Arabidopsis thaliana: one gene and its partners. The protein of the gene in region 3 interacts with the protein of the main gene of each other region in a pairwise test. Each region holds a gene or a part of one and is shown on either strand. Other genes may lie near its edges. The genes, in order: AT4G20970, HB21, AT4G01460 and AGL86.

Evidence for each region.
Region 1: the proteins of AT4G01460 (region 3) and AT4G20970 interact in binary tests that used the Arabidopsis thaliana proteins (3 or more experiments, as listed by UniProt).
Region 2: the proteins of AT4G01460 (region 3) and HB21 interact in binary tests that used the Arabidopsis thaliana proteins (3 or more experiments, as listed by UniProt).
Region 4: the proteins of AT4G01460 (region 3) and AGL86 interact in binary tests that used the Arabidopsis thaliana proteins (3 or more experiments, as listed by UniProt).

The regions. Positions count from the first base shown.
Region 1 is NC_003075.7:11,212,587-11,220,042, forward strand, and holds AT4G20970 (basic helix-loop-helix (bHLH) DNA-binding superfamily protein), read left to right. Parts: upstream 1-2,525; 5' UTR 2,526-2,672; coding exon 2,673-2,804; intron 2,805-2,903; coding exon 2,904-3,269; intron 3,270-3,551; coding exon 3,552-3,626; 3' UTR 3,627-3,846; downstream 3,847-7,456. Other genes in the region: PyrD (Cytidine/deoxycytidylate deaminase family protein), read left to right, coding at 1-254, 332-944; AT4G20980 (Eukaryotic translation initiation factor 3 subunit 7 (eIF-3)), read left to right, coding at 4,411-6,186; ACA4 (alpha carbonic anhydrase 4), read left to right, coding at 7,186-7,276, 7,374-7,456.
Region 2 is NC_003071.7:680,146-688,314, reverse strand, and holds HB21 (homeobox protein 21), read right to left. Parts: upstream 4,681-8,169; 5' UTR 4,485-4,680; intron 4,027-4,484; 5' UTR 4,014-4,026; coding exon 3,081-4,013; 3' UTR 2,819-3,080; downstream 1-2,818. Other genes in the region: AT2G02550 (PIN domain-like family protein), read right to left, coding at 497-931. UniProt on the Arabidopsis thaliana protein: Putative transcription factor.
Region 3 is NC_003075.7:616,745-625,018, reverse strand, and holds AT4G01460 (basic helix-loop-helix (bHLH) DNA-binding superfamily protein), read right to left. Parts: upstream 4,329-8,274; 5' UTR 4,042-4,328; exon of another isoform or gene 3,692-4,041; 5' UTR 3,686-3,691; coding exon 3,248-3,685; intron 3,147-3,247; coding exon 2,748-3,146; intron 2,433-2,747; coding exon 2,322-2,432; 3' UTR 2,020-2,321; downstream 1-2,019.
Region 4 is NC_003070.9:11,316,728-11,323,946, reverse strand, and holds AGL86 (AGAMOUS-like 86), read left to right. Parts: upstream 1-4,399; coding exon 4,400-5,419; downstream 5,420-7,219. Other genes in the region: AGL92 (AGAMOUS-like 92), read left to right, coding at 1-1,028, 1,119-1,255; AT1G31620 (uncharacterized protein), read right to left, coding at 6,053-6,130, 6,395-6,491, 6,685-6,778, 6,940-7,006. UniProt on the Arabidopsis thaliana protein: Probable transcription factor.

The DNA of each region.
Region 1 (7,456 bases), about 11 Mb from region 3:
GCTTATGTTAGTTTGGAACCATGTAATCATTACGGAAGAACACCGCCGTGTACAGAAGCATTGATTAAGGCTAAGGTGAGAAGAGTTGTTATTGGGATGGTTGATCCGAATCCAATTGTTTTTTCTTCGGGTATTAGTCGGTTGAAAGATGCTGGAATCGATGTTACTGTGAGTGTTGAAGAAGAGTTATGCAAGAAGATGAATGAGGGATTCATCCATCGAATGTTAACAGGGAAGCCTTTTCTCGCCCTCAGGTAAAGTTCATTGCTTCTCTTGAGTGGAGACAAATCCGAGTCAATAGATTGTTTTTAAGTTTTGAAAATCTTTGCAGGTATTCTATGTCTGTCAATGGTTGTTTGCTAGACAAGATTGGGCAAGGGGCTTCGGATAGTGGTGGATACTACTCGAAGCTATTGCAGGAATATGATGCGATAATACTTTCTTCCTCGTTATCGGATGAACTCTCGAGCATTTCTTCACAAGAAGCTATTAATGTTTCGATCCAACCTATTCAGATCATAGTAGCTAGCAATGCACAACAGTCTCATATCCTTGCTTCTTCCCACACTGTGGAAGAATCGGGTCCAAAAGTTGTAGTTTTCACCGCAAAGGAATCGGTTGCAGAATCCGGAATCAGTAGTAGCGGGGTCGAAACCGTAGTATTGGAAAAGATAAACTTGGATTCCATTTTGGATTATTGTTACAACCGTGGACTATGCAGTGTCTTGTTAGATTTGAGGGGGAACGTCAAAGACCTTGAAGTTCTTCTGAGAGATGGATTTGAGCAGAAACTATTGCAGAAAGTAATTATTGAGGTCTTGCCGGAATGGAGCACAAAAGATGAGAGACAGATCGCGTCGATGAAGTGGTTAGAATCAAAGCATGTGAAAGATTTGCAGTCTAAGCAATTAGGTGGAAGCGTTTTGCTAGAGGGCTATTTTTGATGTTTTCATGTATGAATGAATACAAGTCATGATATTTACCTTTTTTAAAGCATAGTATTATTAAGGTTTTACAGATCCTATTATTAATAGATTGATAACAGATTTTTGAGAAAATGTTGTATTTTCAAAAGAAAATATTTTCACATGTTGAGAATCTGATTCGACCTTCTATGGCCTACACATGATGGGTATCCTAAGATGAGATGTTTTTTCTTAATTGGAGTTCATAAACCAAAACCCATAAAAAAAATTAAGGATGTGTAATAGAATGTGAAGTACATTCAATGAGAACTGATTGTTGATGTCGATTGCGTTACAAATTTGACAATTCTTTTTGGATTTTGGTGGAAATGTGAACTAACTGACAACAAACATCAACCATGTTGGATTTGTTTTTGTCAAAACCGATATATCTAGAGATATTCGAAAGAAAGAACGAAATAAACACTATACAATAGTCAATTTTAAATCACTTTATGATTTAACAATCCTAAGTTCCTAACTTCAAATTTAAGATTTACAATAGCATGAATTTTAGTCTTTCTTATTGTTTCATAGCATTATTGTATTAAAAAATTACTCTACAGTTACACCATCTCTCTTTATAATGGTTGTTTCAATTGAGTTAATCATTTACTATTAATCTGAAAATTTGTAGTATGAATGTTATTGTTGGTACACAAATTGGTGATGGAACAAAAGATTAAGAGGATATCTTTTATGTCGACAATGGTCGAGTGGTTCAACAAAATCCACGCAATCGCCTGAGCGAAAAAGTTGACCATACTCAGCCCCACCACTCTCCACTTCATAACCTTTTTCTTTTATCCTTCTTCCTTTTGCATTTATACAAGTATTTTCCAATGACGGAATGCAGAAAGAAAAAAATTTGTTAAGCAAATGTCATAAAATATAAAAATATCTATAGCAAGTGACTGTAACTACGATTAACTCAACCGATTGGAGAATTGAGTAACTTATATCGAACTCAAGTTCGAACATACGCTATATATGAGAGTCAAAATTATTGATCAAAATATGCAATGTAATGGTCCAAAATTCAAAATATTACCAAAAAGAAATTCTATAAGTTAATGTTGGAATTATGATAATAAAAAAATACTAATTGATAGATATGAAACAATTTAAGACGATCCATTTGAGACCCGGGAAATAGATTAGTTTATCAAGTATTAATTTATAAAGATTTTACTTTGGACTATTTGTTCAAAAAACTACGTGATGATGAGTTTTCTATGCAAAATCAATTACCGATATGTGGATGATTCTTGTCTTTTGTAGTAATGTTGGTTATCTTTCACTCTTAATGAGAGGTTTAATATCATGTGAGAGTTAACGAGCTTCTTATTTGAGTCAATTGTAGATAAATAGCTTAACATATGCCCTTATAAACTAGCGTTGATTCTCAATCCAATTTGAAACTATTAACAGAACCATTAAAAACTATATATGAACACATAAAATATATAATTGACCATAACGACGAGTCAAGATATATATTTAAAGAACTTACTTTTTTCCACTTTGTTTTGCTTTTTTTTTTTTTAGTCTTTGGTACATATATATTACAAACCCTTTTCCAGTAAATAGTTAGCACAAACTAATTATCAGATGTCACTTAAACCAACCTCCTTCTTTATATAAGCTTGGTTAACATTGAGTTTGTTATCATGGTCTATGTGAAACAATTCAGGAATAAAAAAAGAAATGGAGCCGAGCCATTCAAACACAGGTCAATCAAGATCTGTAGATCGCAAAACGGTTGAGAAAAATAGAAGGATGCAAATGAAGTCTCTCTACTCAGAACTCATCTCTCTTCTTCCTCATCATTCTTCTACGGTTTCTTCCTCTTGGCCCTCTTATATGCTTATATAATCTAAGATTCCATGTATGGGTGATGATCTTAATATTCTAAACTCTTTTATTATTTCATGTTAGGAGCCTTTAACACTACCTGATCAGCTAGATGAAGCTGCAAACTACATCAAGAAGCTACAAGTGAACGTGGAGAAAAAGAGAGAAAGGAAAAGGAACCTCGTTGCGACTACAACTTTGGAGAAACTGAATTCCGTCGGATCTTCATCGGTTTCGTCGAGCGTCGATGTCTCCGTGCCAAGAAAGCTGCCAAAAATCGAGATTCAAGAAACTGGTTCCATTTTTCACATCTTTCTTGTGACAAGCTTGGAACACAAGTTTATGTTTTGTGAGATCATTCGTGTTCTCACCGAGGAATTAGGAGCTGAGATCACTCATGCTGGATACTCCATTGTTGATGATGCTGTCTTCCACACCCTTCACTGCAAGGTATAATTCGGAAAGTAAAACATTTTTTGCAATGGAATTTAAGAATCAAACTTTGCTACTACTACTATGTTAAAACTAGGTCTAATCCAGCTTGTATACACATTGGGAATGAGTTCAAAGTTAGGGAATGATATTTATACTTGTTGTTTTTATATTTAATAAAACTTGCACTCAAAAACGCTAAGAAGCTGCATGTTCCCATCTGATTGTTAAGTTTCTACTAGCTGATTCCTATTAATATCCATATGTTAGTAAACTAAATTTAATTTATATTTTATATAGGTGGAAGAACACGATTATGGAGCTAGGAGTCAAATTCCTGAAAGACTGGAGAAGATTGTGAACAGTGTTCACTAATATTGATTCCTTGTTCCTTTATTAAAAAAAAAAGTTCTATGTTTTTGTTCCTTTTCTTGAATTATTTTTGGTGTTAGCTAGATTCCTTTTCTTGAATTGTATCATGTGCTGTGAGAGTGATGTTTCATTTGTAAGCATAATATATACTTTTCTCTACTTAAAGCTGTGAAATATATTTTGTTTTTTGGTATCAACAAAGCTGTGAAATATATGAAACTTAGGATGATGATTTTCAAGAACGAAACCAAAAAAAAAAGTTTCTTAGAATTAATACATGAACGAGCGAAATAACTTCACCTTTTTTCAATGTGTTATACTTGCCCAAGCATTTGTAATCTAGTGATAGGAGAAACTTTGGTGATAGGTGAAACTCTCAGATCCGAGTTTGAATATCCCGTGGTATTAGTTAGAAAACATTTAAATTCGGGACAGATAGTGTTGTGGTCCTTCGGGAAAAGTTTACTTCGGAGCACTTTGGTGCGTTTCTATCGAAGCTGACCAGATCAGCAAATAGAGTTTATCAAAAAAAAATGTGTTATACTATTTCAAATTGATGAATTTGAATTCTAAATTTTTATTTTATTTTATTTTTTTCTCAAAGTCAGAAATGAAAAACATGATTTAAGACTTCAAGTGTTATATATGGGTTTTGAAGAATACTAAAGCCCATGAGCCCAAACATTAACAAAAATGTTTTTTTCTTGTACCTTCTCTCTTCAACGTAGACTAAAGAATTAGGGTTTCCGCTTTCCACACACACAGCTGCAACACTATCTTCTCAGAAATGGTAACCGAAGCTTTCGAATTCGTCGCCGTTCCTTTCAATTCCGATGGCTGGGGACCTCCAGACGCTTCCGACGTTTCCTCCTCCGCCTCTCCCACCAGCGTCGCCGCCGCTAATCTTCTCCCGAACGTTCCTTTCGCTTCCTTCTCCCGTTCCGATAAGCTCGGCCGTGTAGCTGATTGGACTCGCAATCTCTCTAATCCATCCGCTCGTCCTAACACCGGATCCAAATCAGATCCGTCTGCAGTTTTCGATTTCTCCGCTTTCGCAATCGACGAAGGCTTCGGTCTCGCTTCCTCCGGTGGTAATCCCGACGAAGACGCAGCTTTCCGTCTCGTCGACGGTAAACCTCCGCCGCGTCCTAAATTCGGACCTAAATGGCGTTTCAATCCTCACCACAATCGGAATCAGCTTCCTCAACGGCGAGATGAAGAAGTTGAAGCTAAGAAGCGTGATGCTGAGAAGGAACGAGCTCGTCGTGATCGTCTCTACAATAACAACCGTAACAACATCCATCACCAACGCCGTGAAGCTGCCGCTTTCAAATCATCCGTTGATATTCAGCCGGAGTGGAACATGCTTGAGCAGATCCCTTTCTCAACATTCTCGAAGCTCTCGTACACAGTTCAAGAACCAGAAGATCTTCTTCTCTGTGGTGGCCTTGAGTACTACAACCGCCTTTTCGATCGCATAACGCCGAAAAACGAACGCAGACTCGAGCGTTTCAAGAACAGGAACTTCTTCAAAGTCACTACTAGTGATGATCCTGTGATTAGGCGTTTAGCTAAGGAAGACAAAGCTACTGTTTTCGCTACTGATGCTATATTAGCTGCTCTTATGTGTGCTCCTAGATCTGTTTACTCTTGGGATATTGTTATTCAACGTGTTGGTAACAAACTGTTCTTTGACAAGAGAGATGGATCACAGCTTGATTTGTTGTCTGTGCATGAGACATCTCAAGAGCCATTGCCTGAGTCTAAAGATGATATCAATTCTGCTCATTCTCTAGGTGTGGAAGCTGCTTACATCAATCAGAACTTTTCGCAGCAGGTTTTGGTTAGAGATGGAAAGAAGGAAACTTTTGATGAAGCCAATCCATTTGCTAATGAAGGTGAAGAGATTGCTTCTGTTGCTTATAGGTATAGAAGGTGGAAGCTTGATGATAATATGCATCTTGTTGCGAGGTGTGAGTTACAGAGTGTTGCTGATCTCAACAACCAAAGGTCGTTTCTTACTTTGAATGCTCTTAACGAGTTTGATCCTAAGTACTCTGGTGTTGATTGGAGACAGAAGCTTGAAACTCAGAGAGGTGCGGTTTTAGCTACAGAATTGAAGAACAATGGAAATAAGTTGGCTAAATGGACTGCACAAGCTTTATTGGCTAATGCTGATATGATGAAGATTGGTTTTGTCTCTAGGGTTCATCCTCGTGATCATTTCAACCATGTTATATTATCTGTTTTGGGGTATAAGCCGAAGGATTTCGCTGGACAGATTAATCTCAACACTTCTAACATGTGGGGGATTGTGAAATCCATAGTTGATCTGTGTATGAAACTAAGCGAAGGGAAGTATGTTCTTGTGAAGGATCCATCGAAGCCTCAAGTGAGGATTTATGAGGTTCCACCTGATGCTTTCGAGAATGATTACGTTGAGGAACCGTTGCCTGAAGATGAACAGGTTCAGCCAACTGAGGAAAACACAGAGGGAGCAGAAGCAAGTGTAGCTGCAACTAAAGAAACCGAGGAGAAGAAAGCTGATGATGCTCAAGCTTGATGGTTATAAAGTCAGGTAGTTCATACAAACAACTCTCAAATTCAAAAGGCGGTTACCATAATATGCTTGTTGGATTTGATTGAACACTTGTTTAGGATCGTGAATTTATACTTAGAACCCAAGAAAATGCAGAAAGTTGGTTCTTACTTCTTAGCCATAGAATCTTGTTCTTATTCATCTGAATTTCATTCTTATAGTTTAGAAACTGGTGACTTAGATTAATTGATGATCTTTATTATAAGTATAAACGTCGTATGAAGCATCGTCATTCACAATTTGGATACTATATTCTTCAGGTCCAAAGTCTACACCTTTCGTTTCTGGGTTCTTTTGAGAGTTGAAGCTTCAATCAAACAACAACAATGGAGGTTCCTTTTTTAATTATCTTGTCCTTTTTCAAATTTTTGTGGTACTGCTGTAATTTTAAGTCAGAAATGAGATTGTAGAACACTATCTTCGTGACATCTTTTGGAAAATCATTACGGATTGTTTACAGAACAGAAATCTTTTTACTATGACTCTTATAGCCACCAAATTTTCTTGAATCATTTTGCATTAGTTTTATAAAATTTGGTATTTTATGGTTCCAACTTTTGTTTGTTTCGGTCGTTTGGCGTATTCTCTTATGAGCTTGATCCTATTGTCCTGGTCGGTTTTTATCTCTGTTAAACTGACATAGATCCTATTGTCCTGGTCGGTTTTAATCTCTGTTAAACCGACATACTTCACATATATTTATTATTATAAACCCCAAATTAGAAAACTCAACCAAAATGGTTTTTACTAAGCATTCAGTTTTTTTTTTTTTTTTTTCATGTTTCCAATAGTAACATCAGATTATTAACTAATAATCGTAGCAACGGCAAAAACCATATCAGAACAGCAGAACAAACATCCCCCAAAAGCCTCCTCTTAAATAGGTTGTCTCTAAACCCTTCAATCTCCAAAACATAATAACATACTCCATTAAGCAAAATCTAATCTCGAAAGAAGAGAAACATGGATACCAACGCAAAAACAATTTTCTTCATGGCTATGTGTTTCATCTATCTATCTTTCCCTAATATTTCACACGCTCATTCTGAAGTCGGTATGATTACTACATCTCTATTGCATTCTAGTAAAATTAATCTTTTGTATCAAAATTCAGATTTAATGATTTGTTATTAACTTTAATCTGAAAACAGACGACGAAACTCCATTTACTTACGAACAAAAAACGGAAAAGGGACCAGAGGGATGGGGCAAAATAAATCCGCACTGGAAAGTT
Region 2 (8,169 bases), on a different chromosome or scaffold from region 3:
GCACATCTCCAGAAAATTATCGTCTGTGAATTCTGAAAAATCGTAAGATTTTGCTTCTTCTTTAGTTTCTTTTTCGTTGTCTTTATTTTTCTTGCTACTATGAAACCGCTTCAATAAGTCTATCATTTCGAGTTCAAGCAATTCAAAGTCTTTACTGGCGAAAATAATTTGTGATCACACAAAAGTTTAAAGTGGTAGTAAAAATTAATGTTATGTCTACATGAGAAAAACCTTTAAAATAATAATAATTGATAAGTGTATTAAAGAACTTACTCTTCAACATCTAAATGGTATGAGGTCAGTGTTAATAGTGAGAACCGCATAAACGCTTTTATCTTTATTATTAGCCAAATATACAAGCTGTGAGCAGCAACGATAAACTCAATATTCGGATACTTTTTTTTTTTAAACCTTCAATGGGAGAAAAAAGAAAGGTTAATAAAAAATTAGAAAGAAGTGAAAATTCTTAAAAATAATTATTTACCGTAAATGTTACCTCAATGAAAACATGTATCACATAAGGCGTGATGTGTATATGACTTTGAAAGATCTTAGTAGCATTCTTCTCTTTGTCCTTTCTCTTAGGGTCATCGGGAGCCATAAGTTGTGCTGATGCGTCAAGATCCTTTGCGTATTCTAGAGTTTTTATTGGGTTCCGCGGTGACTTAATAGGTAAACGATGTCCATCGAAAACAAGAATAGGATTCACATTACGGTCGATGAATTGTTTGACTTTTTTGATGACAAACATTATATGTTCAGAGTTGGGTGTAGTTGGTTCCTCCAAGAATTTCCGGGCATTATTTAAAGCACCTCTGTATAACCACATTGAAGCGTCAATTGCGAGAGTTTTACTGTTGAGAGCGGAAAAACTAATTGATTTCAGAACCTTGGATTTTCCATAGAGAGAGTACAAACTTGTGAAGCCCATAGCTTACAATTATTCTTTTTTTTTCTTTTTGAAGCAATAACAAAAAGGAGTGTGTGTCAATATATATAGTGTGATGAAAAGAGTCAAAATTTCCCGTTAGCTATTCCTTTCCATTATTTCTGCTATTTTCATTTTTTCCTAGTTTACATTTTTCTATATTATTATTGTTATATATTTCCATAATTTTGTTTGATTTTGCTGGCCGATTTCATCGTACGGACCTAACCCGGTTCGGTTTGGTTCAACTGTATTTCTATTATATTTTCTGGAAGTTTTTCTATTAACTATAATATATATTAGGTGATCACTCTCGATACGTCGCAGTTTTTTCGGATTCTTTTGTATTGTTTAATTTAAATATAATTTTTATTTATCTAATCATTCACTCATGCAATAAAAAATTATTTCAGTATTAAAATATTTTTTTTCTAACAACATTCTCAATAATGCATCATACACATCATTCATAAACAACGTTCATCTTAAACCAATTTAACAGAGGGTAGTGTTCGTAATTAGAAACATAAGAATTTGATGATGGATCGGAGCTCCGTACGTATTATGTACCCTCGATGATTTATTATATAAATATCAATTTAAAAAATAAACTACTCAAATCATTAACTAATTCACGACTATTATACACTCATACTTTGAGTTTGGATTACAAAAAAATCTTCGAGTATGAAAAAACTATTAAAATAAAATATTTAAATAAATTTATTGAAAAATTTATTGAAAAATCATGTAATATTTAAATAAATTTAGTAATAGTACAGTAAATATGTAAAATAAAATCATATATAAAATTAAATAATAAATTTATCATTAACTTATAAATTAAAAATTGAAAAGTTTACATTAATTATTTAATAGACACATGATAAATGTTAAAGTGATGATGTATCGATCATATGTAAAGAGTTGGATAATTTATATATATATATATATATATATATATATTTTATATTGTTATAGTGCTATAATGCTATGTCAATCTTGAAGGAGATAAAAATATATTTGAATAAAATGACGTTTCAATAACAAAATAATAGTAATGGCAATCAATAAACTATGTCAGTTAATTGAATTTTTATCTTCCACGAAATACGCAATACGCAATTCATTATTGATGTTTTACTGAAATCGAGTGATAAACTATAGGCATAAAAAATTATACTACTATAAAACAACAAGTGAAAATGTTACATTTAATATTACAATAAATGAAACATGTGATATCACAAGGAACAACAACATCTTAAAATCGTAACTCCATTTTGATGCATGACATATTTTATCCCATATCACATTACACGACTTGCAATATGCCAAGAAGTCACATAAAGTAAATGCACATAATTGTTCAAATAAAAGAAAAGGTCCATAAATGAGTTTACTAGTACACCAACCAAACATTTACTCAACCTAATACGTCATACATATTAGGACTTGACTTACACTCGCCAGGACAATCTCCAACTCTCTCCATTGATAGAAATCGTAATTTATTGCTCTCTTTGTTTTCCGTGCAATTTATTTTTCGATCATGAGAATGAAAATATTTTTTCAAACTAGAAAACAAAATAATAGAATCAAAGCAAGACCGGATGTTTAAAAAACAAGACAAATCAAAAAAAAATATTTTGTTAAATCAAAACAACGACAAAAAAGAAACAAGACAAATCAAAACAAGACCGGCGTAAGATTTAGGTAACTAGTATTAATTTTGTTATGGACTTTGTATGATACACTTCCTTTAATAAATATCAGAATTCAAAAAACAAAAACAAAAAGAGTTACCTATGAGAATCTAAAATTCTGCTACTCACATAAATAGTAAACGTGACAAATGATATCACGAACTACAAAGTCTAATGATTCGAAGTAAATAATAACAGTGCACATCCCAATGCATTGGTTAAATCGCCAAGAATTTTCTTAAACATACATTATAAGAAAACATCAAAAACTTATCTTACACGCTCCAAAACCAAGATTATAGGTACCCTAATAAAACACATGTTTATAAAGCTACCTAAACAATGATTAGCCGAGAAAGGAGAAAACATTAACCATACGATAAGAAAGTACTTAATTAATTAAGTAATCACATGAGTGAAGTTATATAACAACAATCTGAACTTAACTAAGGATTAGTAGAAGCAAGATTTTCAGTAATGTCGTTATTACCAGCAGAAAGGTCGACATTGTTACTAACGTTGTTGCTCTTCTTGGAGAGATTTTGTTTGTTGTTGTGCATCCAAACTTTAAGAACTCTTCTCCTAATTCCAATCTCTTGACAAAGCTGTTGAACAACAGATTCCTCTTGTCTCTGAATCTTCCAACCAACTCTTTCCGCAAAACTAATCATCTTCTCCTTTTGCTCTTGTGTAAACTTTGTCCTAAACCTTTTCTTCTGATTATGTCCGTAACTATACGGTGATGGTGGTGGTGGTGGCTGCCGGAATGTCAAGCTTCCTCCGCCTTCTTCCTCCATAAGATCCTCTGACTCTGAGTTGGATCCAGCGGTTGTAACGCCAATAGGCATTATCATTTGTTGTGGTAATGGTGATTTGATCATCTTGTGGTGGAACATGAGTTTTCTCTGCTGCGGAGGTGGTTGGTGGTGGTTGAGGTAAGGGGAAAAGAATGTTTTCTCTTCACCTTCGGTTTCTCTTCTATGAAAGTTTCTATGGCAGTTGCAAACTGAGCAAGTGAGAGCTTCAATGGAACCTTCTTCACCACTTGGCATAAACTCTCCACAACCATCAATGGCATTGCCTCCCATGGTAGCTGCATGGTTCTTTAGGCATTCCTTGTACTTTATCACCACAGGCTTCTCTTTCTTGATGTTGGTAACCATGATGTTGTAACCCACATGATGATGATGAGAATGATCATGATTTTTACCAAGACCATTACTATTTGAGGAGACTAGTAGTGGGTTTGAAGTAGTAATGTTGAGAGATGATGGTGCAGAATTGGCATGATGATGATGGTTCATGTTCCCATGCCCACCTCCACTATTACCATAACTAGTGTTTATTGGAATAGGATCTTCTTGACTTGCAATCTCCATTCTTTTGATCTATCTGCCAAGGAAATAAACACGATTTTATATTTAAAACTTTTTTTGGGTTTTGCAAAGTGTTTCTTGGTTTGGGGACAAAGAAACTAGTTAGGAAGAAAAAAACAAGAGTAAAGATAATTAATGAGTAAAATTCAAATGATTAAGCTACAAAAAGGCAAGAGCTTTCTTCACTACTCATTAACCCCATTTTTTTAATTATTTCCTCCAAACAAAAAGAAAAACCCTAATTTTAGAAGGTCCATAAAGATAGAGAACAAAACGAAAAAGTACAAAAGAAAAGAAAAACTTATTGCAAGCCTGCTTAAGCAAAAGCTGACAAACCCACTTGAGAAAGAAAGGTCTTATTCCAAGTGAGAGGTTGATGATAATCAAGAAGACAATCTTTATTGTATCACCAAAACAAAATTGTTCTATTTAAACCAAATGAAAAAATTGACTGAAGAAGTTAAGAGCACATACCCACAACCAGAAAGAGCAGCAAACTTTATCTCAAAATGAAACCTTTCTTGAGAATAACCACAAGGTTCTGAGAATAGAGAGAGGCTAAGGAGTTTAGAGATTTAATTAGGGTTTTATAAAGTGATAGACTTTGAAGAAAGAAGATAAAGAGAGAGAGAGAGAGAGAGAGAAAGAGAGAATTGCAGGTGGGTTTTGGATGTGAAGGCACTTCTTAAACTAAGGGCTTAGAGTATTAGTAGTGAAAGCCAATAAAGCATGAGAAAGACACATGAGAGCCATAGCCATAGCTAATTATTTCCTCACTTTTCTACAGACAAAGAGAAAAAAGATCATTAATTAATTACACCTAGTTTTCATTTTATTAATTCATATATAGGATATTTTATTCAATAATGTCTCTACCAAATTAAAATTTGGGTGATAATATATAGACAAAAACAATACAATTGTGATCAAAATATGGAAAAGAAAAAGTGTAGCTAAATTATTTGAAACAAAAAAAGCTACATCATTTAATTTAAAATTTGAAGAAACAACAACAATCACTAAATTAGACTTTATAAGATAAGTAGTTATTCATTTTTATATACATTTTTACTCATGAAATGTCATTTTATAATATTGATATATCGCAGTCATTGATGAATTGAAGGTTATATTGAATATAAGACCATCCTCATTCTTCATTGGTGATACTTTGAGGGTGTCTTTAAATTAAAAATAATAGAAAAAGATAATTTAATGTTTTTAATTGTGTAATAGTGTCTTTAGAAAGACATTTTAGATCTCTAAAATAGAAGCTGTCTTTAATTTAATTTTAATTTATTTTTGAGATATCTACAAAGGTATGAGTAATGTGGATGCTCTAAGATTTTCATATTCACCCAAAACAAATTATCAGTAAAGGGAAAGAAAAAAAAGAAGAGAGCCAAGAATTAGGATTATGGGAGATTGCTTGTCTTGCACTATCAGACATCAAATTTACAACAGTGTAGAAACGTGTCAGATAATTAGTGGGAAGAGTATTGAAGTAGATAACAAAGAGAAAGTCATAATAAATAACAATATCTCATCTTTGTTCCAAAACATTAAATAACTAAAAATTTGGTAGTAAGGTATAATAATAATATTTTTTACCATCTTAAAATTTAAAAGTGTGAGATTGATACTAATTCAAAACGAAAGAATGTTCTAAACATTACTATAAAGCCTTAACTTGTTAAGCTAGTTAATTAAAAACACATATTGTTCCTTTACCCTTCGGCCTTCGCCATTAATTATGTCACGTATGATATTAGCTTCAAGAGGTTGTCATGTCATGCTTGTGAATTTATATGATTTACTTGAAGTTACTATTAATTATTGGTCCTACCAAATATGTGCACTTATATACCATGATCATCCGTTTTCTGGAACATACAATTGTGAGAAAGAATCAAAAGATAAACAATAAAATAAAAATATCATAATCAACTGATAATATAGTTACTGAAATATATTCATAAACCAAAGTTTGTTACGAGTTTTGTTAAGACCAAAATCTCGATTATTATTAAGTTTTGATAATATAAAGTTTTTGGTTTATATTGCGGGCTATCAGTGTTGTAAAATTAGACTCTATGTTATAGATGATATATGAACAATTGCTCTTGGGTGGCAGAATTGTAAATTTTGGCCTAAAAGTATATATAGTAAGTCTTGGTAAATAGATTTTTTTTATTGCTTTACATTTTCGACTTAATTATCACTAATCCCTATTTTTATATTTCTTTAAAATCAAACAAATGAAAACATCAAATCACCAATACATATTAAGATTTTACCTGAAAACTATTACTTTCTTGCTTAAGATTATTATTTCTGCTTCTTGATGACTAATGTTTTAAGATATATTTTTCTTTTTGACGGTCAAAAAATATGTTTCATTTTCATGTTTTGACCTTTTAGGTATAATTGTTCTAATCGACAAACTTAATTCGTTTTAGAAAAGTTCTAACAAACACGACAAGTTGTTGTCTCAACTACGGTGGCGGTTGTTCCTCTAGGTGAGTGGGGACTAATCTCATTTTTATTGATTCGTAAAAGAAGCACTAACTACCAAATTGCGGCAATTGCTAATGACCATTCAAGTCTTAATTACACAAAACACAATTAAGAAATAAGAGCAGTTCACTTTCTTAGTTTATAATTTCCTTGTGACCTTGTGGGCTTTTATTTTATAATACAAAAAAAACAAAAATTGAGATACTTTTATCTTTTTCTTTTGTTTTCTTCTTGTTTCTATGTGTTGTCTATTCTTCTGGACTCTGGTAAAATTCCTTCCATTGTAGCAGCTTTTTCAAAAACAACTCTTTTATTTTCTTTGTACCTTACGGTTTACGATATCATCAGAATAATGGCAAATAAATGCATACTCCATATAATTTAATTTAATTTCCCGTCGTCCATACTATGTATTTATTCACACGTCAAGTGACTTTTATTCGAGGTGATGTAAAAAAAAAAGCGACTTGTATTCGAGGTATAAGAAACAAATAAAATAAAAGGGACCACAAGAATATTTTTCAAATTATTCAATTATTAAGAAAAAACATAATTAATGAAAATGGTAAATTATTTAATATATATTTTTTCCTGTGTCGTTAGTTATATAATTTTTTGAAAATATAATCTACGATATTTAATTATATGCCGCTTACGTGATTGAGATAAACAGTTTTCACGAACAAGATTTTATGGTACAACTCTCCCTATAATATTATCCGTTTTTTACATGGATCAAATTTAATTTCTGTTTCGGCATGTAAGAAGTTCATATATTTCAATCGAAATAAATAAATAGATAGTATATTATCCTTATGAAAAGTTCTAATTATATATCGCATAATTACGTACGTATCATTGTTGATGAGTGTAGGATGAAAAATGGTTTTGCTCTTTGGGATTTCGATTGGTTTGGGATGGATGTTTGATTCTTTTGAAGTTCTAGCTAATCATAACCATTTTTCTTATAAACTGAATATGGTATTTTTTTTTTTAAATAAAATATTTTGAATTAATATTGGTTTGGATTTTGAGGCTTACGATATTTGTAGACAATGATGTTTTCCATCATGGTCAAAGTAAAAACTAAAATATTAAACACTTTAATCAAGAAAAATAAATTTATATATAGTCTTTACGTTTTATTTTATATATCTTTTTTAAAAAAACTAATACATACTACGAAAACTATTAAAATTTATACCATTTCTCTTATTAATAAAGTACTTTATTTTATCTCTCTAATTATTATAGAAGTAAAATATCAAACAAAATATAAACTTTTTTTTTTCTTCTTTTTTTACAAAACAAAACATAAACTTTGGTTGCACTGACAGTGAAAAACGACTCATATTATTCCAAACATAAACAATTTTTCCTAAAACTAAACTACATAAAATATTAGAATGTAGCCGAAACCTACATTATTCCAAACGGTGTGAGTAAACATGTTGGTAGTTGCTAATGCTACCTCGGTCGTGTCGTATTTCAGTAAAACGTCGTTGTTATACTGAAACGATATCGACTTCATAACATCGACATCGTTTTAAGAATTCAATATTGGCTAAGTAAAATAATGTCACTTTATTATAGTACTATACGTGGTTTCTGAATTAACACATACTAATATGTTGACTCAAGT
Region 3 (8,274 bases):
AGATATGTGTTTTTAATTGTTTTTCACTACTTTTGTTGTTTTAAGTAATTAATAAATTGATTGGTGGAAAATTTACACTAATTTAAATTAGATTAAACTATTATGTGGGGTATACGTAGTATTCTGCCATACTTAAGGAATTCATGTACAAACGAATTTTATTGGAGGCATATTCTTGAGATTATGCTTCCATGGTGAAAACTGAAAATATATCAAACATAATGGGACCCGCCATTATCAATAATACTATGAAGATATATATATGGTTGGTTGGTCCATGCACGTTCTTTATTTTATTTTTGGCCCAAGCACGTTCTGATATGTGAATCTTAGGCTAATGATTTTTTAGTCGATTTAAGTATTGAACAACACACACAAAAAAAGGAATTCAATAAACGGTACTTCGGTGTCCCGGTGTTTGCTCTAAACGCGTTTCCAAGTTTCTTGCACGTTCAAGCAAAGTGCGATGACGAGATTTGATGATACTCACGATGTATATTCCTCAATAACAATAATTGTGATTAGTATTATAAGTTTATATATATAACTCATCGTGGATTTAGAAGAGTTATGTCAATGGTCGATTGGTCGTATGTTTTATTGTTTTTACCACATGGAAAACTAACTATTTTATGTATCAAGAATTGTAAATAACATGACATTTGCAGATAACAACTATTTGGGAGAATTCTAAAATTCGCTCGATGATTTAATTTTAAAGATCTACACTAATTGTGCTACGTTGAGCAATTCTCTATTACAAGTTAATTGTGCTACGTTGACCATTTCTCTATTTAAAAATTAAACATATACAAAAACTCTTTACAACTATCAAATATTCTTTTTAAAAAATCAAATAAAAAAAACACCAAAGTAACACATCCTTCGACTTAGAAATCACAATATAAAATCAAAACTTTCGACTTCGAATCAAAGCCCCGAGTTCGTTCAAAAACCTCAATTTCACGAATATGACTCATGAGGACCTACTAAGAATAAAGCTAAGGAATCTTTATTCAAATAAACAAATACCACGCGAAACATTAACGCGTAAATACACGCACGTCAATCTCACGCGGTGGAACGCTCGGCTCTTTTAGTATGGGCTTTAATGGGCCTGTATAGATTAACTGGGCTAATATTTTTAAAAGAAGGACTTTTGTCTTGAGCCCAAAACGAAAATGAGTAATTTGTTTTTGTTTTCTGATAAAAAAAGAGTTTTCCTCAAAAGAAATGAGTAAATGACATATTACTCAATAATTTACTGTAAAAATGACCAAATGGTTTGACTTTGACCAAAAGTTGGAAAAGATCAGAGTTGTTACCAGTCGATTATCTCTGACGTATGATCTTGTCGTTCACTCTTACACACAATATTCAAATAATGTATCATTGCTTTCTGAATAATATGTTTTTGTTTATATTGTTCTTGTATTACAGAATTTAAACATATTGATCGGATTTGTTTTGCTTATGATGTTTAGATTTTTCCCGATTTTTTAATAAGCTTTGAATACAAAAGTTAAATATATGCGGAAACCGATATATGAATTAAAATTTCGAAAAAAGTAATGTGAGTGAGATAGGCTGAGTTTTACGTATTACAAGCGAGACCGATGTGTCAATGAGACTCTGACCATAGGCTTCCTTTTACGATGCTTTTTTACCATTGGAATATTAAAAAAATTCTGCCACCTTTCTCTTCGTTGTTAAAAGTAAAACTAGAGTCATTATACAATAAACAAGTATTTTTAGTCAGTAGACGTTGATGCAAAAGAATACCTTTAAATTTATGTTGTAGCTGTACCTTTTTTATCAAGCGTAGATTTGTCAGACGCATGGACGATATGAGAGTATTAATAAAACGTATATGCAAAATATAAAAAGAGGTTGCGAAGTGTGAAGGCGACTTCTTCTTAGTAATAATGATGTTTCATCTTTAATTGTATTTGTTTCCATTTCCGTAACCATTCTAATACGGACGTCTAAAGTCAATTTCTTAACATTATTACTAAGTGGGAAACATTTATAAATGGAAGTAAATATTACTCATGGTTAACTTTTTTCGTTTTCGGGGTCAAACTGAACTCATAGGTTAGTTTATATTCAAAAATTACAGGCAATAATAACCTAAACCTTCATGTGACCAATAATAATGTCATCGTAGAACACTGCGAGTTTGCTACTAATCTAAAATCCAAAAAGTATAAGATAATAATTAAAACTCCCAAAATTTCACCTCTTTGGTTTTTCTTATTTATATCACGTCCCTTTTCTTTGTAACCTAAAGTTTACACACGTTACTAGGAGTCAAAAGTCAACTAAGTTCGACTAAGATTTGACCACATGACTTCACCGTTGATTTGCTCGAAGATCTGATGAACGGCTGTCGCTATCTCATCTGCTGATCCTAATTTACAACCATCTTCCATCTGCATGCACAACACCATTCATTTCTCATCTCTCCAAAACTAAACAAAAATTAGCAACTTACTAAAAAATTAAACTAAAATTTTCTAAGCTTAGAGTGAAGGAAAAAAATACACACACACACACATAATTGTAGATATTTTCTATTATGGTTTCTCATGCATTTTAATTTTCTTAAGTACCAAACATTTCAAAATGAAGATTCCTTAATTTTCCTCAAAAAGTCAAAAATTGCTAGTTACATAAGACTATTTATAATAATGCTTAAACTAGTGGAAATTGAAACTGATAGTTTAAGAGATGATTAAGAAAATTACCTTGAGATTGAAAGAGTAGATGACAAAGTCAAAGGAAGAAGAGATAGTGAGATGTAGAATCGCAAGCTTTAGTTCTTCAATCGAGACAATAGCTTTTAAGATCTGTCGTTTTCCTCTCTTACACCGAACTTTTAAGCTCACATGGTTCTGTATCACCGTAGCCTCCACTTCTGTCGTATCTCCACCGCCGAATCTCGCCGTAAATCCATTTTCCGACGTCGTAGACACGCTAGAAATAGAAGAGTTAGTGCATGCAAGAGACGAAGATGAAGAACACGACGCCGTTTTAGGAGTTTCATCAGTTCCATCCTTTCGTTTCTCAGCTTCTAGAGATTGCAAGAGTTGCTCTAGTTCCTTGATGAAATCTATTGCCCCTCCTACAATCGAAGCTTGGTCACCCTAGAGAAACAAAAACGTTTTCTTGTTAAAGCTAAATTACGTTCTTGAAAAGAAAAAAAAATTACGTTCTTGTTTAATGAACCCTTAAAACATTTTGTTACCCGTTGAAGAAACGAAGGAGGCATGAGAGATCGGAGAGAGTTTAAGTGTTCGTTCATTTGTCGTCTTCGATTACGTTCGACGGCAATGTGAGTCATCCTTTGGTTTTCAACTTCGTCTTTGTTCTTTGGAGCTCTTGTACGTTTCCGTTTTCTTTTTTCTTTGACCGTTACTGCTCCGTTTTCTGTTCTTGGATCCTTTTCCGGGTCATCTGTTTGACCCGGATCTCTTTTGATGTTTGTTTCAAGGGTGAGACAGCTCTTTGATTCTAGGGTTTGGATCTGGAGAAGTGATTGGAGAAACTGATTTGGTTCTGTTGTTGTAAAAGGGTGTTCTATGCATTGAAGCATTTGCAGAAATGGTATCTTCTCTTCCATAGTAGTGTCTGAAATCTGACCAAATTGGTCTTCTAATTCACCAAAACTCATCAATCCACTCATAATTAGCTTCAACAAAGAAAAAAACAAGAGAGATTAGTTTTAGGATACCATTTTGACAAGAAAACAAAAATCTACTAAATCTTAAAGTGGGTATGAGAAATAAATGGTTTGGTAGGTGAATTCTTAAGACAGAACAAAGAGGATGTACGAGGAGAGAACATTAAATGATGAGAAATAAAGAATGTCGCAGCGAGAGGAAACAATAATAAAAGTAGCAGAATTTGGATAAGCTATTGTAAAATGAATTTACAAGAATTTTGCATTGAATGTTAATCATATGAAAGGAGGAGGAAGAAGAAGAGTAAATGCACAAAACAGTATTCTGTATATGAGAATAAATTACAAGAGAGGCTTACATGAGAAGCTTTATGAGTCTCTCTAATGGAACTGTTTTCTGAAGTAATATTTTTGTAACTTTGAGTATTTAGATATAGGTGTCTTTCCTCAAATAGTCTTCAAATTAACAACTTCTGCTGCTGCTTCTTCTTCTCTCTCTTTCCTCTAAACTAAAAACATTCCTTTAGGGGTTGACACTTTCTAAACTGTTCTTAATAAATGCAGTTTTCCACATATATAAAAGGAGAGAAGACGAGGAAGAGAAGAAGAAGAGGTTCGGTGCATATATGTATAAAAAAACCAAGGGTGAAAAATAAAAATACTATACTATAGCTAAATTATCTAGTTATATATATAGTCGTCGATATTTAGTATTTTACACGCACACATACAGTAATATATGTATGTATTATTAATTAAATATTTAATCCGTGAAACAGATAACCTTTCTTCTTCTTTTTTTAACCTAAATTTTGGACAAAAATATACGTGGGTGTCCTGTCCTCCAGATCAAATATTTATGACCTTGTCCTCTTTGGGCCTTCAAAATAATTTTCTTTCGGGACAATACTCTTTGATTTTTGTTCTTAACGAATTTTACTTTGGTAAATATAAGGAATTCGATAGACTTTGATGAAGGAATTCGATATTTGGCTCGACCAAAAAACATATAAAATACTTTATCTATAAAAATAATTCTACTTAAACAGAAACTTTGAAGATTCACACTAACATATATACATGTTTAAATCATCATCCAAAAATCTTCTTCTGTGTTTGGATATGTTGGCTTCATTGGTGTTACATATATATTAACCGTTTTGACCAAAAAATAATAATATATTAACCGTATTTATTTCATTTTCTTACCATATGTTTTGCTACAACTATTAGAAATTAAGTGTATATATATAATATAACTCTGTATAGACACAATGAGATTGTGCGTTGGGACTAGGAGGGGTCCCGTAAAAGTATTATTGAAGAGGGCAGTGAAGACAGTTTTGTTTGGTGGGGACACGTCTTCCATGAACAGTACTTCTCACTCTTATTAAGACAGTTTCAGGATCAGAAAAGAAGACCAAGCCTCTCTTGCTTCTTCCTCTTTTTCTTTTCTATCTTTAGAGAATTAGTTTTCTCCAATCCAAAAAGGGTTTTCATGTCTTTTACTTCAACTTTTCATTTACTTTGTTTTTTCTCTTTTAATCGAGCTAGAACAAGTACATTATGGGTCTTTAAGTATTTCCCAATATGGTGTGTTGACTTAGTGCTATAAAAATTAAGAATGACAATAGTACCCTTTAAGAAGAGGACGAACAATGCACATGGCCAAGGCCAAGGCCATGGGTGCCAAACGTTAAGTATCCTAATAATACCAACTCGATTTCAGTGCCTTGGTCTGTAGGGCAAACAACAGTACTCTCCCCCAAAAGAAATTTACCTTTTTATTTTTGTTTCCTTCTCCCAAACTACAGATTTTTATTCTACCTCAAAGTCTTTTAAGAACTTGGATTTTGTACCATGCATAAGTGAGTCCAAAACTCACATGCAACCTAATAAAATTGAATAGACTACATTTGAAAAATAGGCCAAACGAATTATGAAGAAAGGAAAATAGATGTATGAAAATATAACACACAAAATGTTTTTATATTATTATAGATAAAGAAAAAAAAAATTACAAGTTTTGTCTAGTACATTATCCACCCAATAAGAGCATGTCACATACCAATTGAGAAAAAAGTGGAGTAAATTTTTATATATTACTTAGCTAAACACAAGAATATCTATAATATATATCATTATCAACATATCATATGTGGATAGCTATTTCTTCAGCCATTATAGGTTCGAATGGAAATCAGTTTGCATTAGACACGCGAACCACATTTTCTTAGGTAGTTCCCTACGTGTAACATTAGACCCGAAATAGCACTTATTTATCGTCAAAGTAAGTATGTAGAATATGATTTTACAATTTATAGTTCTATGTACCATCCATATAACCGAAGATACGGTACTAGTTTGTTTAAGAAAAAAAAAAGAAGATACGATACTAGTAAATGAGAACATATAGGAATTTAGACGAGCGAGGAAAATGGTAATGGGTTTACCCACTTGTGTTTAGATCAATTCCATGAATTGTCTCTCAGTTTACTTTATTCGATTTGACTTGTTTCCAGAAGGCATGTAGAGTTGACAAGTTAAATATGTCTATACAATCTCACATCCATTATGCAATTGGCCACAAATAAAAATTCATTATTTCATCTGTAATAAATGTATCATTCAATATTTTCTGTTAGTTAAGCAAACTAATCAAATTAATTTTGAAGTTTTTAGATATATAATGTATTACAGATAACAAGAAAATGACTTGAAATGGTTTGGTTGGACCTAAGATTAGTAAAGAGAAAATTGCAAAACAAATTTTAAAATCTAATATTTTTGTAAATCTACTCTCCACATTAAAAAAATTGCAAGATTATCATATAAGTCACTCAACCATATACAGTAGAAACTCTATAAATTAATAATGTTGGGACCATGAAATTTTATTAATTTATAGTGATATTAATTTATCCTATAAATTAATATTTATTAATTTATCGTATAAGTTAATAAATATTAATTTATAAAAATATTTATGTAAAATACAATACTATATTCTTTTTAAAATGTTTTTAATTAATTTTCTATATGCTTTGTTGTTTGTATATATAATTATGTTAGTTTTTTATTTTTCTTTGACTTTTTAAATTTATTTTTCAAAATATATTGTGTTTGTATATCCACGACATTAACGTGAACGTAAACGTAAACATGAAGTTTAATCCAATTTTTATTTACACAAATCTTAGCAATGCTTTTTCAAATAAAAGATTTTACAAAATCAACTATGACAGATCAAATACGCAAATAGTTATGTGAGTACAACAGAGATCATACCAGTTATATTTTAAAAAGAGTTGTAATTGTACTTTGAACAAAAATTTCATATAAAAATTAATTAGTCTTAAAATATATACTTAAGATCTATGATTATTAATTTATAATATTATTGGGACTATAATTTTATATAGGGATTTCAAAAAAAATATTATCTTATTATCTTATCGATTTTGGTTACTTTTTACATTGGCCCGACTTGGGACCGGTAAAATTTATTAATTTATCGTGTTTATTAATTTATCGAGTATTAATTTATAGAGTTTCTACTGTAGCTAGTCTTCCACAATATTTGACCATATAACACCATGTATTTTATCTAACATATTATGAAACTAGGCCGTTTTGGACAACTAAAACGAAAAGAAGTTGGAACAACAAAAGGTGAAAACTCAAATCCTTATGTCGATTTGTCGATGAGGTCAAATGCTTGATTCCCCGTCCCCTTCACAGTTTTGTTTCTCAATTTTATTTCAAAAAAAGTAATATCATAATTATAAAAAAACACAGAGTGTATTAGTTACTGTCAAAAATTATATAATACGAGGTTGTAGCAAGTTGAATATTAATCTCGCATCTTATAAATCTAGGAAGTAGGGTTGCAAACAAAACTGATAGTTTGAATATTTGTATTGGCAATTTACTGGTAATAATGTTTTCTTGTAACATTTTTTTTTCTTTCTGATAATTTTTAGCAGATGTCTACAAGAGTTCCTTTTGTACAAAAATGAGATATAAGGATTACAAAAAAAGTAGGGTAATTGTTTTTTTTTTATATCTCTGCGATAAAACTTATAACACTACAATAGTTAATATACTACAAGAAAACATAACCATTTCCAACAAAAATTTTCAAAGAAATGTTTGGTTGAATTTTTTTTGACGGGATTCTGACGAAATTCCGAAAACAATACTTTATCAAAAATCCGTTAGAAAAATAAAAAAAATTCGACAATTACATATTAATCGGAACTTTGTCGGAATGATAGAATAACAGTAATAAAATCTATTTTTATTTATTTATTTTAATACTGCGCCTTCTTCTGTTTAAAACCTTAAACCACTTTTTTTTTATCATCATTCAATCCGTACTCTTTAAATTATAATATTTTCAGTATAATGCGATAAAACTAGATTTTCCGTAGCAGAGACAAAATAAGCCTAATAGAGTCAATATCTCTTTTCATGCATATCAGAGTAATACGTAGAGTAAGTAATCCATGTATTTTATTAAACTAAACTCAAAGTGTATCATCTTTCACTTTGGATTTTCTTCCTTCTGATGCGTTCGAGAATTAGGCAAA
Region 4 (7,219 bases), on a different chromosome or scaffold from region 3:
GTCCAAGACGATGATGAGTCATGAGACTTTCTTGCGGGACCAAATCACCAAAGAACAAAACAAACTAGAGAGTCTACGTCGTGAAAACCGAGAAACTCAGCTTAAGCATTTTATGTTTGATTGCGTTGGAGGCAAGATGAGTGAGCAACAGTATGGTGCAAGGGACCTTCAAGATTTAAGTCTTTTTACTGATCAATATCTTAATCAGCTTAATGCCAGGAAGAAGTTCCTTACAGAATATGGTGAGTCTTCTTCTTCTGTTCCTCCTCTGTTTGATGTTGCGGGTGCCAATCCTCCTGTTGTTGCAGATCAAGCTGCGGTAACTGTTCCTCCTTTGTTTGCTGTTGCGGGTGCCAATCTTCCTGTTGTTGCTGATCAAGCTGCGGTAACTGTTCCTCCTCTGTTTGCTGTTGCGGGTGCCAATCTTCCTGTTGTTGCAGATCAAGCTGCGGTTAATGTTCCTACTGGATTTCATAACATGAATGTGAACCAGAATCAGTATGAGCCGGTTCAGCCCTATGTCCCTACTGGTTTTAGTGATCATATTCAATATCAGAATATGAACTTCAATCAAAACCAACAAGAGCCGGTTCATTACCAGGCTCTTGCTGTTGCGGGTGCCGGTCTTCCTATGACTCAGAATCAGTATGAGCCCGTTCACTACCAGAGTCTTGCTGTCGCGGGTGGCGGTCTTCCTATGAGTCAGTTGCAGTATGAGCCGGTTCAGCCTTATATCCCTACTGTTTTTAGTGATAATGTTCAATATCAGCATATGAATTTGTATCAAAATCAACAAGAGCCGGTTCACTACCAAGCTCTTGGTGTTGCAGGTGCCGGTCTTCCTATGAATCAGAATCAGTATGAGCCGGTTCAGCCCTATGTCCCTACTGGTTTTAGTGATCATTTTCAGTTTGAGAATATGAATTTGAATCAAAATCAACAGGAGCCGGTTCAATACCAAGCTCCTGTTGATTTTAATCATCAGATTCAACAAGGAAACTATGATATGAATTTGAACCAGAATATGAGTTTGGATCCAAATCAGTATCCGTTTCAAAATGATCCATTCATGAATATGTTGACAGAATATCCTTATGAATAAGCGGGTTATGTTGGAGAGCATGCACACATCCCTTTCATGGACGGAAACTACTACAACTACCACCAGCCACCAACCGTTGGTCTTACTTCCACCGGTCACATGCCTTCCACCACCACCACCACCACCAACAACAACAACAACAACAATGTGTGATGTGTTTCAGTAGTGTGCATTTTGTGTTTTGTTTGTTTTAAAAGACCAGTATTTAATTATGCTTTTCCTTTTCAATTAGTTGTTGTAAGAGTTGAAGGTTTTACCTTTAAGTCAGTTCTATTTCAATGAAGTCATTTCTGTTTGGTCACAAATTATTTTTTACGAGCTTTTTGTTCTTAAAATGCATAACTAAATAGATCTGCCAAAATCAGATAGGATTTTGTTTCCAAAAAACATCAATACTTTTCAAGCCTTCATTATGGTTAAATACTTATATGATTAAATATTTTGAAGAGAGTTCAGGACGGAAGTTGTATATATAGGAGGAGAAGTACCATTGAGTATATATACGAGGAGAACCATTGTTGAAATTGGTCGCAGTGAATCACTCTTGAACCGAAAAGAAGCGCTTAGAAATCAGATCAAATCCAAACACTCTAATCTTCCTCACTCGTTTCTTAATGCCACAAAGATCCAATATGGCAATGTAAACATAAACAGAACTAATTACATCTTTCTTAGTTTATGTTCTGAAACATGTCATACTTTACAATACAATTATTTGTCGATATTAAATCCTTCTTCTTTGTTTTCAGGACATTGGTCATGCATGGGCTTCTTGAAGCATATTCCCGAACACTTGCGAATCTTGCTTTCTGGATTCTTTCAAGAATGGGAGAAATCTTGAAAGAGTTATAACTCCCTTGCACCACCGAGTAGCATCCTTAGCTCATGTGACCCTAAAGAGCACCCCAAAGGCCTTTGCTTTGGTCCCGTGTAAGGCCTCTCCGATGGGACAGAGACTGGTTTTCTATTTTTTGTTTGCAGTTGCTAAGGCAGGTAATTCAGTGAATACAACTCCAAGTAGAAGCAGTAGACTGTGGTGTTTAAGTAAAGTGCCTTCTGATACTTCTCCTTGATTTAGAGGGTCTTCCTAGTTCGATGCGTGCCACCTGAAGCTTCTCCTTTAAAAACCGTTTTAAAGACTGTATTAAGATTGAATATGGTTAAATTGATTTGGCTCTTCTGAAAATTTTAAATAAAAAGCTGAGATATTAAGAAAATAAGGTATATTTTAGGATATGCATATATTATGGGCCTAAGGTAATTTGAAATTAACACAAGCCTTAATGTATCTCTATCTGTACCTATCACCTACTAAGTATTCATTAAGATTTTTTTTTAGAAAAATGGCTTCCTAGCGTTCTATTTCAACTATAGGCTTCACTTCGTGTATCATCCCAACACTGACGAGGTTTTTTGGGTTGGATTCAAGTGTGTACTTCAACTAAGAACATATTTTTGGTGACCAGTTATGCTTACTACAACGTTCAGATAAGATCGACTATACCTTGAATTGTTTTAGTATGTGTAAATTAAATACATAGATTAAACGGATCGTGATTACCAAAAAAAGTTCTTATGTATATATATGGACCTTATTTAAGATATCTATAGTTAAACTTTTGAACATGACCTATAACTATAAGTAGCTTAAGTCGCCCCTAACTAAACATATAAATAAACATGAAAATTAGTGTTTTATGGCAGATGAAAGTTATTTATTATCTGAGCCAAAAATATACGGTGAGCTTGAAATAAAATTTAGCATTTAAAGAGAATGGAAATTAAACTACTACTGGATTGAATTATTTACCATTCTCTCATGTAATATCTTCTACTCTATAGTATTTTTATAACTATTTGAAAACATTTAATCAAAAATCAATAAATATGCTATTTATTTTAGAGAAATTTCTACATTTTGTAAATGTAATTGATAAGAAGAGAACCAGTCAAACAAAGTCTAATTAACGATGTGCATTCTTGTTTTTCTTATTTTTTGGTTATTGTTAGACCTCCATTTTTTTTGGATTCTCTCTCATTATAATCATACCACACAAAAAAAGTATGAGAGAAATAAGAGAAAGGTTCTTAAATAAGAACTTTTGGTATATTAACTTGAACTTTGGGTATATTACACTTGTCTTTTTTTAATTGGTTCATTTTTTGCTTTTAAACCAAAAATTAATATATAATTAAACTATATTTAAATATTAATACTTTAAAGTTTAGATATTTCTTTGGGTATGTAAAAACAACTGGAAGTTTTCTATACGTAGTCTAAAATCTTTAATTTCCCTATTTACAGCTTATAATTAGCTGGCAATGCAATGAAATATTCTAACCCAATAAAAGAAAAAGTATTCTCCAAAAGGTATAATATATGCATGATTTAACAAATTATCTCTAAACTAATTTATTACTGAGCCAAAAGAGGAAAGAAATCCATCTATTAATGTATAAAACAGTTATTTTATCCAAATTTCCTTTTAATTAGAATCAACTTAATGATTAAAAAAAATCAGGTGGACCTGCAGGCCATGACAAATGTTCTTTTAATATATTTATTAAAAAAGTTCATATAACCAAATCTGAGATTTAAAAAAATATATTTTTCTCTAATACTCTACTATTATATATTTTCATTTGTTATTATTGTAAGTATCAAATATTTTTACTAAATTAATTAATATAAATTTTAATGATATTTTATTATCTTATTATATTGGTTTACAAACTTCTTGGTATGTTCTCCTTTAATGTATATAGGTAGTTTAAAGATTTTCTTAGAAATAGAACACATATTTCGTGAGATTCATGTTACATTGTTTTCAAAAACTTTCGTGCTTTCTAAATATTTCGTAAGACTCACGTTATATTGTTTTCATTTTTTTTCTATAAATAAACAACTCTTTTGAGCTTGTATATATTCATGATTTTACATGTAAATTGAAGATGGAGTACTCTATTTAAAAAGAAGAAAAAAAAACACTTCAAACTATTACTAAATTTCATAGTTTATAAACAAAACTTTAAATTACTCTTAAAAGAAAAGTGAGAGTAATATAGGAAGATAAACTATTCTTAGTAAAAAGAAAAGAAAATCTATTCTTAGACATAGCTTTAATTAGTGGCCTCGTCAATTAATGAGACAGTAAACACAAAACAAATCTAATGAGTCCAGCAACGTGAAAAGCCACGTACTGTGTAAAAGCACAATTTTCATTTCTATATAAACAAGACAGTCTTGGGCCAAGAAAGTAAACAAAACACACACCAAAGAAAAGAAAAACAAAGATAATGAGGTCGAAAATTAAGTTATCACTCATAGCTAATAAGACCTCAAGGAGAACCACATTCAGGAAGAGGAAGGGAGGGATAACGAACAAACTCCATGAGCTAACAACTCTCTGCGGCGTCAAAGCATGTGCGGTAATCTCCAGTCCGTACGAGAATCCAGTGGTGTGGCCGTCAACCGAAGGTGTTCAAGAGGCGGTTTCCATGTTTATGGAGAGGCCGGCGACAGAACAATCCAAGCTGATGATGAGTCATGAGACCTACTTGCAGGACAAAATTACCAAAGAAACAAAGAAACTGGAGAGTCTACGTCGTGAAAACCGAGAATCTCAGCTTAGGCAATTTATGTTTGATTGTGTTGAAGGTAAGATGAGTGAGCATCAGTATGGTGCAAGGGACCTTCAAGATTTAAGTCTTTATATTGATCACTATATCAATCAGCTTAATTCAAGTGTCATGCTCCTTACAAACAATGGTGCGTCTTCTTCTTCCTTTCCTCCTCCGCTTCATACTTCAGTTGCGGGTGCGGGTGCGGGTGCGGGTGCTGCTCCTCTTGTTGTTGCGGGTGCGGGTGCGGCTCCTCTTGCTGTTGCGGGGGCGGGTGCGAGTCCTCTTGCTGTTGCGGGTGTGGGTGCGGCTCCTCTTGCTGTTGCGGGTGCCGGTCCTCCTATGGCTCAGAATCAGTATGAGCCGATTCAGCCCTATATCCCTACTGCTTTTAGTGATAATATTCAATACCAAGCTCCTGTGGATTTTAATCATCAGATCCAACATGGAATCTATGATAATCTCAGTTTGGATCCAAATCATCAGTATCCGTTTCAAGATGATCCATTCATGGAGATGTTGATGGAATATCCTTATGAACAAGTGGGTTATGCTGCAGAGCATGCACACATCCCTTTCATGAACGGAAACTACTACAACTACCACCAACCACCAACCGTTGGTCTTACTACCACCGGTCACATGCCTTCCAACAACGCCACCACCACCACCACCACCAACACCACCGTTGTGTGATGTGTTTCAGTAGTTTGCATTTGTGTTTTGTCCATTTCAAAAGACCAATCTCTAATAATGTCTTTTCTTTTCAGTTAATTGTTGTAAGAGTTGAAGGTTTTACCTTTAAGTCAGTTATATTTTTATGTATTGGGTAATGTATTTCTGCGCCGTAGAGCCGGATATTTCAATTATATTTGAAGAAGTTTGGTCATAAATTTGTTTTTACTTTGTTTTTTGTTCTTAAAATACATAACTAAATAGATCTGCTAAAATCAAATATATTTTGTTTCATAGAAAATCTTACTTTGGATATATTATTCGCAAAAACATCAATACTCTGTATATCTCTTTCTCAATCCATAATTTATTTACTTCCCACACCTACCTATATAGCGAGCAAATGAACACACTAAAGAAGTAAAAACATGAACATAAATAATGAACACACGTCTCAGCAAACCCAAAAGATTAACAATACAAACTGTAGCTTGTTTAGTGTTGAAAATTTGAAAAATCAACATGATAAAATAATGAAACTAAAATAAAAGGCAAGTTTTCAGTTATCTCTTACATTAGGATCCTACGAATCAAGTTAAATTAATTCTAGGATCCTTAAAAAAGCCAACACTCTGGACGTGTGGTTATGTGCGATCAGAACAAGAGATTCACGGGAGCCGGAGGTTCTTTCGAATCCATAAGAGCGCCTAAACTCTTCACTGTCTCCAAATCCTAGGAGCTTTAACTCTTCTTATGTTTTTTGTTTCAACATTGTAGTAGAAAATGTAGAAGGGTCGAAAATTGAGTGACAACCTCTTTGGGGCAATAATGATCTCACCAGCCTTGTTGGTGTCTGGAAATGACATTTTAGCACACTCAACATCATCCCAAAAAGAGGAGGGAAACACACATGTTTGCTTTGACCATTCATGTTTCTCGACGTCTTCTAGTATCCATAAATCGAAACTATGGAAACCGATCATAATGGTCGCTCACAATGGAAGCAAGCTTCCCTTTGTATTCAATGAATACTGCTTCACTTCCCCATTGCACAAAACCCTTAAGTGCATTGATAAAACTCAGTTTCTCAGTTCTAAAATGAAAACAAACCAAAACTGTCTCTTTAGTTTTGGTTAAGAAAGCAGCTTAGTAGAGAAAACCGTTGATGAATACACTCGCTTGATGACCCGCCCTATAAGGTAAAGGGGTATCTTTAATGTGTATCCATACTTCACCATCTCCCAATGTTCATAACTTGTTCTCCAGATGACCACTAGATATCATACCTTTTTCTCTTCAAGGATAATGCTTTGTGTTGATCATCAATAGGATCGTATCCCACGATCAAAGCAGTGGTAGCAGGTAATTTAACCGCGATTGCTTCGAGGACATAGAGAAGAAGTAATCAATGAACCCTCGGCTTCGGATGATGGATTGCCACATCTTTGACACGAATCAAAACTTCATAAGAGACTTGGCAGGCAATCTAGCTAGTACAACCATATTTAGATCAAGAGGGAGCGAATCTAAGTCTAACCTACTTGTGTTTGTGTCTTTCTCATCTTCCTCCCCGTTATCGTTATTACAATCTCGCTCGTTACATTTCATGGCGCCTCCTAAACAAACCCTAGATTTGATTCGGCAAATGACTTTAGTTTTTGTGGCTCTTCATTACAGACTTCGCAGGCAATCTAGATACTGTAGCGATATCGGACCTAACTTACTTCGGCTGCTACAAAATCTGTACGTCCTTGCGTTTCATGGAGATTCCTGACGAAGCCCTAGGCCTAGCTATTCCTTTCTCAAATTTCTTTTTTTTTT